3 linked regions of the Caenorhabditis elegans genome follow. The protein of the gene in region 2 purifies or fractionates together with the protein of the main gene of each other region. This does not show direct contact. Each region holds a gene or a part of one and is shown on either strand. Other genes may lie near its edges.

Region 1 (2,771 bases), on a different chromosome or scaffold from region 2:
TCTCCAAAATACATGTTGAACAGTTCGAGAACCTCGTTTCCATCAACACCTTTCGGAAGATTTCCAACGTAGACTGTTCTTCGAATTTCTTCGACTTTGGCAGAATCCGTGTCAGCCGGTAGAGGTGGATAAGCCGGTAGTCCGAGCTGCTCCAGTGTCGGATCGACTGTAATCAACTGAAAAATGGAATAATTAGACGGCGCGAAAACTAGAAATATTGCAATTTCTAAAATATCAGGAATTTGAAAATTTCTAAATTTAATTGCTTTCATATCCGACGATGCGCAGCATAGATTGGCGAGGATACACTGAAACTGAAAATTTAATCATTCGGCGAGTACTAACAAAGTTTTTTGATGATTTTCTGGATTACGCTTTCGGGATTTTACTGCATTCGTCATTTGGGTAGTGGCCAGTAGAACTGTAAAATGAACAAGTAACGTCCGTTACCACCAGACGCTAGTTGGAAAACTAGTGGGAAAATAAACTTACCAAAGCAGATCCATCGTCAGATTCTTGAATTTTATTGGTGACGTGAGGTGGGAGCTGTCGCTGACCAGCCGTTGTAGATCCACCACTGTTGAAAAAACTCTCCTCGTCCGGAATCACAGCTGAAAAAATGAAACTTTATGAAAAAATGCAGCTTTCAAAAAACTCACGATTCGGATATGGTAGGCAGACTATCGCGCAATCGATGACGACTGTGTTGGTGAGATGCTGAGCTACTTCGACACATCGCTCGTCGTCGAACTTGATAAAAGCAGTTTTCAGGAGAGTATTAGCTGTGATATTACCTTCTGATGGATAGACCTGAAAGAATAAATTTTTAATTGAAATTTTTAATCGAAAAATGTGTAAATTTGGAATAATAAACCAACCTTCAAATCCTGAATTTTTCCGAGATAGTTGAACATGTTGTAGATGTGATCCCTGGTAGCCGATGTCGAAATGTTGGCGACATGGAGAATTTTTACTTTTTCTTTCTCCTCCCCCGACATTCCTGAAAATAAAATAATCAATTTTCGTCTTGAAAAATAGAAAAACAAAATGTAGTTCAATAAATTTAAACCGGCGACGTAATTTCAAAATTAACATGTAAAAATCTATCGAAAAGGCATAAACTATTAGAAAAAGTTAGATTTTTATCGAAATTTCGTTTAAAATCGATAAAAATCAGATAAAACATGTAAAATTCAGGTTAAATCGAAAATAAATGCAGCCAAATTCGAATAAAAAAGAATCACTGCATGTTTGGCAGCGTGCCAACATCTTGTCGCTGCGAGACCCGTCCACTGTCTGCGTCTCTTTTTGGGCCCTTTTCGAAAATTACAAGTAGTTTTTTTCTCTTTTCTTTTGTTTCTCCCGTTGCCCGTTGTATTTTTCTTCGGAAATTAAATAAGTTGGTACAATAAATTAAAAATAAATGGAATTTTGATTATCTATTACTTTCAGATATGTTACTAGTGCAAATCATCGTAAAAATTTGAATTTACAGCTTTGAAATCGTTTTTATTATTTTTTCTCTTGAATCGATAAATAATTCTTTCGCATTGTAGCAATTTTCAACCATCTTTATTTCAGAAAAGAAGAAAAATGGCCGATGATGGAGTCAATCCGAAGGCCTTCCCACTGGCCGATACCAACTTGTCTCAAAAGCTCATGGATCTCGTCCAGCAAGCGATGAACTACAAACAGCTCAAGAAGGGAGCCAACGAGGCCACCAAGACTCTCAACAGAGGAATCTCTGAGGTAAGTGTATCGTAACCATGTTGAATTGCATTCCCATTTTCAAAATCAATTTTCGAACCAAATTAATTGAATTGTTTCAGATCATCGTCATGGCCGCCGATGCCGAGCCACTGGAGATTCTCCTCCATCTTCCACTTCTCTGCGAAGACAAGAACGTTCCATACGTCTTTGTTCGCAGCAAGGCTGCCCTCGGACGCGCTTGTGGAGTCACTCGTCCAGTGATCGCTGCTTCAATCACTCAAAACGAAGGATCTCAGCTCAAATCTCAAATTCAGAAGATCAAGGAGGACGTTGAGAAGCTTCTCATCTAAATCCTTCTTTTATCAATTTGTTGTTACGTTACCTCATTGTTGTTATATGATAATCCATTCATTGTTTTGTTGTCCCAAATTGCAAATACATCGTTTTTGAAAAAGAATGAACGTTTCTGCGAAACATGGACATCTGATTGTTATCAAATTGCATAATCGGCTACACTGTTCTAAAGTGTATCTTGGACACACAAGTACTTCATTGGCGTATGATGATGCGAGTAAATAAACCTCCCGGAACCGGTTGCATTCTAATTCGACCCCCGTTTGCCCTAGAATGTGTCTCTTCCTAACCATTGGCTTGCTAATTCCACCCCAAACGCCGTCACAACCCGATAGGGCCGCCAAAAAAAAGGCAATCGCTGATAACTACAGGGAGTCGCTTCCTCCGGGAGAAAAGACGGTTTCTGGCAAGGCAAGCACCGCCCATCTCCGTGTGCTCTGTCTCTCCATTCCCGCCGCTCCGTGTTCCCACCAACATGCAACAGTTTTCTCTACTCTTCAAACTATTTCTAGCCACAGTTTTATTATCTGTAACTTATCGCTTTGTATGTGATCGGTTATATTCAAATCACAAATCCGATGTTAGTGGATTTGTCGATGAACGTTTCGAGAAAGTTCGAGAGGTTTTTAAGTAAGTTCGACCTTCCTGCTCTCTTTTTTTCTCATTTTTCTACCCGTGTGAAGTGACAAATGTGTTTGACTGAACTG
Region 2 (5,402 bases):
GAAAAGAGATCCTCCTGAAAGGGGAGAACAGAGAAAGTATCAGAATGAACCAGTTGGAAAAGGCAAAAATAAACTTTGATAACGAATTAACTGCGATTTTTCTTTTTATCGTCAGTGGTTTTTGCAGTGGTATAGGCCTCTCGATCTGCTGGCTCGATGTTCCGTTCTTCTGCCCATTTTGCGAGATCGCGACGCATAGCGTATGCATCTTCTCCATCCGCGTAATATCTGGAATTTGTCATTTTTGTTAATAATTAGGGTTAATAAGGTTCTAAAAGTTATCATAATTTGCAAATTGAAGTATGTTTCTTCTGATTGATGCCAAAGTTTAATCACCTCGCTCGCATATTTTTGTTTATTGTTTTAAAAAAGCGCCACGTTATTAAACGTAATTATTTTTCGAAACATTTTGTCCTTTCACTGATAATCACAATAACCTTTTTCAATTTGAACTTGACTTGGAACAAAAATTAAAAATAGGTGAACCAAAAAAGAATACAAAATTATTTAATTCCATCACTTCTGTAAAAAGTATAACGTTGGAAATCGAACGGGTGATTGGGAAACGTCGATTAGAATTTTTTCAGTTGTTCATCGAGGGACGAACTAATCCGCGCCGAGAAATGAGGATTTATTCAAATTAATACTTACTTTGGCTCTGTATCCACAATTTCGAATTTCAGTGTGTTCTTGTATAGATTCAATGCGGCTCGGTTTGATACACGAACATGAAGCGATACGTATTTAGCGTTGTAGGTTTCGACCATGGCTCTTGCGGTCTGATCCATCATTTTATTAGCCAATCCCAGACGTCTGTAAGATCTTTTGACGGCCAAAGAGGTGATATGACCATGTGGCTCCTCTCCTGGGTCTTCTTCCATTTTGGCGAGAACATATCCAACAACATTTCCCTGAACAACAATAAATGTTTCAAGTCAAGATTTGCATGAGAATAAAAAATACCTTGTGATCTTCAGCAATATAAGAGAGCTGCGGCCAAGAAAGAGCGTGATAGAAGTAGTATTTCATTTGATAATTCTCTGGAAGGCACATAAGATTCGCATTTTGCATGCTCATCAAATCGTCCACGCGAGCACAACGAATGTTCATCCTGCTGCAAAGATAGAGCAGTTGAGTAAACGGCACAAAAAATTCGGAAGCGAATGCAAAAGGAGAAAAAAATAGAGATTAATGGAGGATTTGCAATATACGAGCTTGTAAAAAAGTTATAACTCGAATTCGCCGAGGGGCAATACACCGTAGAAATAGAAACGTGGATAAGGTGGCACGTGAAACTTAAGTTTTTACTAAAACAATTAGGAAAGAACTATGTATCGCAAATGACAGAGTTTTGCAAATAAAATATTTATATTAAACTATTTTGTTCAATTTTAAAAGAATATCACGCAATATAAATACGAACAAACATTCTAATTGATGAAAACGAATTCTAAAAAGTGTATAATTGACAGTTCAAACGGTTTTGATAACAAACAAAAAGAAATGTACGGAAAATCCAGTTTTTATTGATTTGTCGAATTGTTGAAAGCCGTTGCAAGCCGGCTGCCGCCAGCAAGAAAATTAACGTTTAAAGGCGCATGCATTTATTCGAGAGATCGTGGCGAGACCTGCGCCCGCTTATCGATGAATTTCGAATTTAGAAACATTCTCTTTGTGTACTTTTTCATGTTTATCACTGAAATAAATCGCTTTTCTACGTTTTTTGAAGAAATTTTCTGCTTAAAAATTACTATAATGCATAAAATATCGAAATATATCATTACAACACATTTGGTCGCTGTTATTTCCTGATTTAACTCTAATTAGGACTTCCTAACTTTATTTTATTTATTTCAGGTACAATCAAAATGGGTTTCGACTCACCAAGAGGACGCGGAGGCGGAGGCTTCCGCGGTGGTCGTGGTGGTGGCAGTGGCTTCACCCCACGTGGTGGCGGTGGTGGATTCCGAGGTGGAGATAGAGGACGTTCTCCAGGCGGATTCCGTGGAGGCGATAGAGGACGTTCATCAAGCGGATTCCGAGGAGGAGATAGAGGTCGCTCACCAGGAGGATTCCGTGGTGATCGTGAAGGTGGATTCTCCCCAAGAGGACGTGGTGGAGGCTTCCGAGGTGGTGACCGTGGTGGATTCCGAGGTGGAGATCGTGGAGGATCTCCATGGCGTGGAGGAGACCGCGGCAACTTCCGTGGAGGTGATCGTGGTGGCTCTCCATGGCGAGGAGGAGATCGTGGTGTAGCTAATCGCGGTCGAGGAGATTTCTCTGGAGGGTCCCGTGGTGGCAATAAGTTCTCCCCTAGAGGAGGCGGTCGTGGTGGCTTCACACCTCGTGGACGCGGTGGAAACGATTTCTCACCGCGCGGAGGAAGAGGAAACTTCCAATCTCGTGGGGGAGGCAGCCGAGTTGGTTTTAGCGATAAGAGAAAACAGTATGATAGTGATGGAGATGACGACGAGGAAGAGGGTATAGTGCTGATTTTAGATTTATTTGCAATTATTCAATATTCCAGAAGTCCCGAAGAAAAAGCTTGCCACCGGAACTCCGTTTGCAAAACAAACAAAACCAGTAGAAGACGATTCTGGTGAAGACGAAGAAGATGAGGAGGAGAGTGATGAGGAGCCACAACCACCAAAGAAAACTGCTAAGAGTGCCATTGCTACGGCTGCTGAAGATTCTGACGATGACGAAGAGGACGATGATGAGGAGGAGGAAGAATCTGATGATGACGCTCCGCAGGTCAAAAAGTCTGTTGCTGTTGAGGAAGATGAAGAAGATGAGGAAGACGAGGAAGAAATTGAAATGGACGAAGAAGATGAGGAGGTATGTTTTTTTTTTCTCAAAGGCTGATTTTCTTGTGAAAATTTCTTTGGAAAATGTTGCAATGTTTATTTCGAGTTTCCTTTAATATTATTGTTTTCAGGAAGAAGAGGACGAGGAGGAGACCGAGCCTGTCGCTAAAACTCCAGCTGTAAAAAGCTCTCTCAAATCTGTCGACTCCACAAAAGGAAAGCAAGTCAATTTATCTAAGGTTGCAACCCCAACTACTGTTGACAAGAAAGCACCAGCAACCCCGCATCCTGCCAAAACATCAAAAAATGCTGCCGGTGATGTTCCAAAACTGAACTTTGATGATGACAGCGACGAGGAAGATGAGGAGGATGAAGAAGTAGAGGAGGAAGACGAAGAGGAGGAGGAAGAGGAAGAAGATGTTCCAGCTAAGAAAGCTCCAGTCCTCAAGCAGTCTTTAAGTCAAATAGCTCAAGCGATTGAGGAGGACAGTGACGATGAGGATGAAGATGAAGAAGAAGAGGAGGACGAGGAAGATGAAGAAGAGGAGGAGGATACCACAAATGTCCCACTTATCAAGTCGAAAGCTGATCTTCTCAAACAGATTGCTGCAAATCGTGCTGCTGCTTCTGCTGCTCAAGATAGTGATGAAGACGAAGACGAGGAGGATGAAGAAGACGTAGAGGAAGAAGATGAAGAGGAGGAAGAGGAAGAAGATATCCCAGCTGTGAAGCCAAAAGTCACCGAAAAACAAGGAGGTGTGAAGAGAAAGCTTGATGAGCCTACCGTCGCTTCTAAACAAGTCAAGAGCGATGGTAAATCAATTATCAGTGAAGAGGAGAGAAGACGTCAAGATAGAGATTCGCGTTCTTTGTTCATCAAAGAAATTGCTAAGAAAGCAAAAGATGCTGAAATCACTGGTCTTGTAACTGGACTCGATTCTTTCCGTCGCAAAAAGAACTCGAACTTTGGATGGCTTGTATTCAACACTGTCGCAGATTGCAAGAAAGCTCACGATGTTCTTAGCAAATCTAAGATTCAAGGAAAAGCTCTTTATGTAGACTTCTGTCTCAGTGAAAGCAAAGCTCCAAAAGAACGTACGTTTTAAAATTCCTTAGCCAAGCAAAGTATAATTTTTTAGATGGAGTTCGTCCGATTAATCCTCTCCAGCTCTTCATCAACGCTCTCCCAGGAACCTGCAATAACACAGACTTGAAGAACATCTTCCGTTCATCCACAGACATTAAGATCCTTCACGCAAGTGGTCAGCCAAACTCGAAAAAGAGAGCTTTCATCACTTTTGGAACCGTAGAAGACGCTCAAGCTGCATTCGCAAAATCAAATGGATTGAAGGTTAACAATCATCTAGTCGATGTGTTCTATGCGAGACATCAAGAGACGAAGGTTGACGTGAAACCAAAGAAGGCAGCTACTCCAGCGGTTCAAAAAAAAATTGTTCCGAAAGTTGCTGCTGATTCGTCAGGTGATGACAGCGAAGAGGTGGCGTCAAGTGATGAAGGAATTCAGGAAGTTGAAGAAGAACAACCAAAACAAAAGAAGCTCGTGAAAAAGGTAATTTCTAATCCAGATTATTTTAAAACCTTTATCTTCACTTTCTACAAAAAAAATTAAGGTTGAACCGAAGACTATTCCACGTGTGCAGCAGAAAAAGCCGCAATTCAAGAAGACCGGTTTCAAGGGAAAGAAATAAATTTACCATTGTTTACCATACCACTAATCTCTTCTAGATTTATTCCATCTTGTTGATCCATCTGTTCGCTCCTTGTTAAATCCCATTTTTTTTAAATATTTTTCATTGTTGTTGGTTTTATTGTTTCTCTTGCACAAATTATCAATCCCAATTGTTGTCCCAAAACGTTTTTCATTGTTTTCCCCTGCCTCTTCACAAATCCCTTTCATTTAGGTTATTTGAGTAAGTGTGCTCGGTGTATTTGATGTGCTCGACACTATCAAAAATAAAGTCATTGAAAATATATTCAATCGTGTAATCATTTTGTCATCTGTTTTGAATTTTGGTCAGAGTTATTTTCAATTTTTAGGAACACGTTCACTTATCCTGTAAAGCACTGAATGTAATGTTGAAGGATGATAAAAGAAAGAAGATGCAGTTGCCACGTCTCTGACCTTACTCTGATTAATTTTAATCACGTCTGAATATACGCGTGACCTCCACGTCATCCCCATGATGCCACGTTGGCACGGAGCTCCGTGGCTGAAATTGTTCAGTCTTGTTCATGTTTCACCATGAACAACCATAATTGCTTTCTCACCCCTCTCCAGCAGAAATTCATGCAAATTGTTAGTTCACACCTTTATATATTTTTCAGTTATCTGTTTTTTTGCAGCTATCCGACTATGAAAGAGATCCTAAATCGATCCAAATTCATGAGGAATCCGACCAAATGGATGTAGTGATCTCTTATTTCAAGCTGCTCCTAGCTGAAAAGTCCCGTCTTCTCCAATATGGTCAGGCTAACTTCTCAGTGCATCTCATCGATGAAGGTATGAATTCCAATTTTATAGATCTAATGTTTTTATGATTTTAAGAGATCGGCCGACTCTTCATGGCTCCAATC
Region 3 (3,246 bases), on a different chromosome or scaffold from region 2:
TTGAAGTTAGAGCACTAGGAATGTGGAATAACTGAAATGTTAAATTTTTTAGATTTCAAGCCCACGAGCCAGAGGTAGACCACGAAAAGCTACAAACTTGAAGAGCCAATTGACAACTCCACGTACTCCGGAAAAACAGTCGAGGTCACGATCTGGATCTCAGGGAACACCAGAGAAAAAGTCGCGAAAAGAGAGCTCATCGGAATCTGACAGCGAAGAAATTATTTCAACATCTTCCGAAGGGGCTTTGAAAGGAAGACGTGAAGAATTTGATTCACTGAAATTATGGATTATGAAAAGTAAAGAAACGAATACTTCGTTGTCTATTTATGTCAGTGGACAACCTGGAACTGGAAAAACTGCGACCACAATGAGAGTTCTTAAATCATTGGGAAAATCAGTTCGAAGTTGTATTGTAAATTGCGCTTCAACAAATACCAAATCAGCACTATTCAAAACGATTTTCGAATCTTTGGATTTGGACGGAAAGCCGAATGAAGAAATTTTTGAGAAGCACGTGAAGCAATTCAAAACTCCTCTGGTACTGGTTCTCGATGAGATTGATCATCTCGCGAATCGAAAGAACGCTGCACTCTACGCAGCTTTTCAATGGCCAGAGACGTTGTCTCGAAAAATTATCATTCTTGGAATTGCAAATTCGATTGATTTGACAGAACGACTTCTTCCAAAATTGATGCTCGCGAAGCCACCGAAAAGACTCGTTTTTGAACCGTATACGAAAGATGACATCGTAGAAATTTTGAATGATAAAATGAAAAACGAGGAGGTAAGTTTAAATTTAAAGGATGAGTATCGGTTTTCGGCTTGTATAGACTCAAAATGTACCAAAAAAAACTAATTTTGTAGTGAGAATTTTCAAAAAAACAATTATGGTGGCTAAAAAATTTCGAAGAAAAAAGCTATTTTTAAATAAAATCACCAATTTCGCCCATTTTCTAAGAACTTTTCAGCAGTCTCATTATGAAATTCTTTCGTTTGCGCACATTTTGATTCTTTCCAAGCGAAAAACTCAGAGAACCGGTGCTCCTAAGTTCATTTAGTATTTTACATTTTATAATTTCAGACTTCAATTGACGCAAAGGCAATCGAGTTAACCGCTCGTAAAGTGGCTGCAATGAGCGGAGATCTTCGTACCGCACTCCACATCTTCAAACAACAAAAAAGTCGTATGATTCCTGATGATTCAAAAGTTCCTGGTACCCCAGTTAATGGATGTCGTGAAGTTCTTGGAATCATCAACAATGTCTATTCGTCTCCATTGGCTCGTGCTCGTCTTCCACTTCAACCTCGAATTCTTCTAGCTGTCTCTTTAACACTTTCTGCCAACAAGAAATGCACATTCGATCGGAATTCCCTGCTCCGTGCCTATTATAAAGCTTGCGAGGCTCTTCGAATGCCCGCTCTTGATGACGATGAACTTCATTCAGCGTTCCAGACTCTCGAATCTCAATCCTTCGTCCGTCAGTTAAACGGCGGAAAGCTAGTTCTTCAAGTTGATGCTCCGACGGCAAAATCGGCTATCAGTGACAACGCGATGCTTGATCAAATTGGACTCCTTCAATTTTAATCGCATCTCCTGTAACATAATTTATATCCACTTCTATTTATTGAAATATTGAAAAAGTTTTGAATTTCTTACTTTGGCATTTCCCTGTAAACTTTATCATTCCTCTCACTTCCTTTCAACGCGTTCTCTCTTCTGAATACCTGTCCCTTTACCTTCGGGTACACGTTCTGTGTAATTTATAAACGTTCTCCATATTTATTACAAAACTTTTTGCTCTGAATTTTGGTTTTATATTCCAAAATTTTTTATCTTTATTTTATTATGTCTATAATTATTCTACCCATTTCTTAATTATTCAGATGCGTCCACTGACAGAAGAAGAGACATCGCTTGTATTTGCCAAGTTGGCCTCGTTCATCGGAGACAATGTCTCGATGCTCATCGACAGAAATGATGGAGATTATTGCTTCAGAAATCACAAGGTATTAATTAATTGTTCTTTATCCAATAAAAACTCGATTTGTTCTTCAGGAACGTGTCTATTACTGTTCGGAAAATCTGATGCGTCAAGCCGCCTGCATTGCCCGTGAGCCACTTCTCTCTTTTGGAACTTGCTTGGGAAAGTTCACCAAAAGCAAAAAGTTCCATCTCCAAATCACCGCTCTCGACTATTTGGCGCCGTATGCCAAGTTCAAGGTGTGGCTGAAGCCGAACGCCGAGCAGCAATTCCTTTACGGAAACAACATTCTCAAGTCTGGAATCGCAAGAATGACCGACGGAACTCCAACTCATGCTGGAATCGTCGTATACTCGATGACCGATGTTCCATTGGGGTATGTTCACATTTAATATTCAAGTTAATTAAATATATTTCTCTAGATTCGGAGTGTCAGCGAAAGGAACATCAGACAGTAAGCGTGCCGATCCAACTGCTCTCGTCGTTCTACATCAATGCGATCTTGGAGAGTATCTCAGAAATGAGAGTCATCTCGCTTAATCGGATTTTGGTCTCCATTCAAAAATTTTAAATTCCACAATTTTTCATTTTTCATTGTTATTCTCTTGTTGATGTTGTTTTTGTTGGTCTTCCTTTCAAAATTTTTCATTCAATTATAAAAAATTCAATCTAATTCTGATTCATTCAGGATTCACTTATTGAACAAAAAATTTGAAAAGGTTACGAGTAATAGGCCTAGTTAGTTGAGGTAAAAGCTGAAGAAGTCGAATCGGTGCATCGTCTCCATTTGCACGAAAATATGAAAGCAGGGATACCATGGATGGAAATCGATCGGCAATTGCTTCGGCTCGATTCTGAGACATTCCCGGGCAAACCATCAGCTGTCGGACCCAAGCTTCTTTCACAGTTTCCGCCTTCTTTTTCTGGAGAAGATTCTGGAGTTGGCTGAATGGAACACCCGAAATTTCTTCTATGGCCGCTTTGTTCTGCAAACGAATCGTCACTTCCTTGAGAAATGCAGCTGTGTCTCGAGTATCAGAGCATCTTTGAATAAGATATCCTCCATTGGAAAGAGTTGATGCTACGGCCTGGAATTTTTGTTAGAATTTTGAAAAATCATCAGATTCTAATTCTATATTCTACCTGTTCGCAAGCAACATCTCCTTTATGTTGAGCTTCAATCAAATAAACTCGATTCTTCATCGGAGCCATATTCAATCGTCCTTTCTGCTCATCATATCTACCTCCACGAATACTTGAT

Evidence for each region. Proteins that work in one complex are often made in the same cells at the same time.
Region 1: the proteins of nucl-1 (region 2) and snu-13 fractionate together in Caenorhabditis elegans (co-fractionation; one large-scale study listed by BioGRID). This does not show direct contact.
Region 3: the proteins of nucl-1 (region 2) and C43E11.9 fractionate together in Caenorhabditis elegans (co-fractionation; one large-scale study listed by BioGRID). This does not show direct contact.

The regions. Positions count from the first base shown.
Region 1 is NC_003280.10:10,657,437-10,660,207, reverse strand, and holds snu-13 (Small nuclear ribonucleoprotein associated homolog 13), read left to right. Parts: upstream 1-1,581; 5' UTR 1,582-1,593; coding exon 1,594-1,749; intron 1,750-1,829; coding exon 1,830-2,060; 3' UTR 2,061-2,181; downstream 2,182-2,771. Other genes in the region: rsp-7 (putative splicing factor, arginine/serine-rich 7), read right to left, coding at 1-176, 493-611, 660-810, 879-998; lact-3 (Beta-lactamase-related domain-containing protein), read left to right, coding at 2,540-2,694. UniProt on the Caenorhabditis elegans protein: Binds to the 5'-stem-loop of U4 snRNA and may play a role in the late stage of spliceosome assembly. The protein undergoes a conformational change upon RNA-binding.
Region 2 is NC_003282.8:8,285,985-8,291,386, reverse strand, and holds nucl-1 (Nucleolin homolog 1), read left to right. Parts: upstream 1-1,856; 5' UTR 1,857-1,868; coding exon 1,869-2,481; intron 2,482-2,527; coding exon 2,528-2,838; intron 2,839-2,938; coding exon 2,939-3,902; intron 3,903-3,946; coding exon 3,947-4,377; intron 4,378-4,438; coding exon 4,439-4,516; 3' UTR 4,517-4,800; downstream 4,801-5,402. Other genes in the region: N-alpha-acetyltransferase daf-31, read right to left, coding at 87-228, 652-911, 964-1,110; K07H8.9 (K Homology domain-containing protein), read left to right, coding at 5,071-5,124, 5,172-5,328, 5,374-5,402. UniProt on the Caenorhabditis elegans protein: Nucleolin is the major nucleolar protein of growing eukaryotic cells. It is found associated with intranucleolar chromatin and pre-ribosomal particles. It induces chromatin decondensation by binding to histone H1.
Region 3 is NC_003279.8:4,266,609-4,269,854, reverse strand, and holds C43E11.9 (60S ribosome subunit biogenesis protein NIP7 homolog), read left to right. Parts: upstream 1-1,887; coding exon 1,888-2,010; intron 2,011-2,059; coding exon 2,060-2,361; intron 2,362-2,407; coding exon 2,408-2,525; 3' UTR 2,526-2,656; downstream 2,657-3,246. Other genes in the region: cdc-6 (Cell division control protein), read left to right, coding at 1-5, 53-787, 1,085-1,588; mus-81 (Crossover junction endonuclease MUS81), read right to left, coding at 2,681-3,073, 3,129-3,246.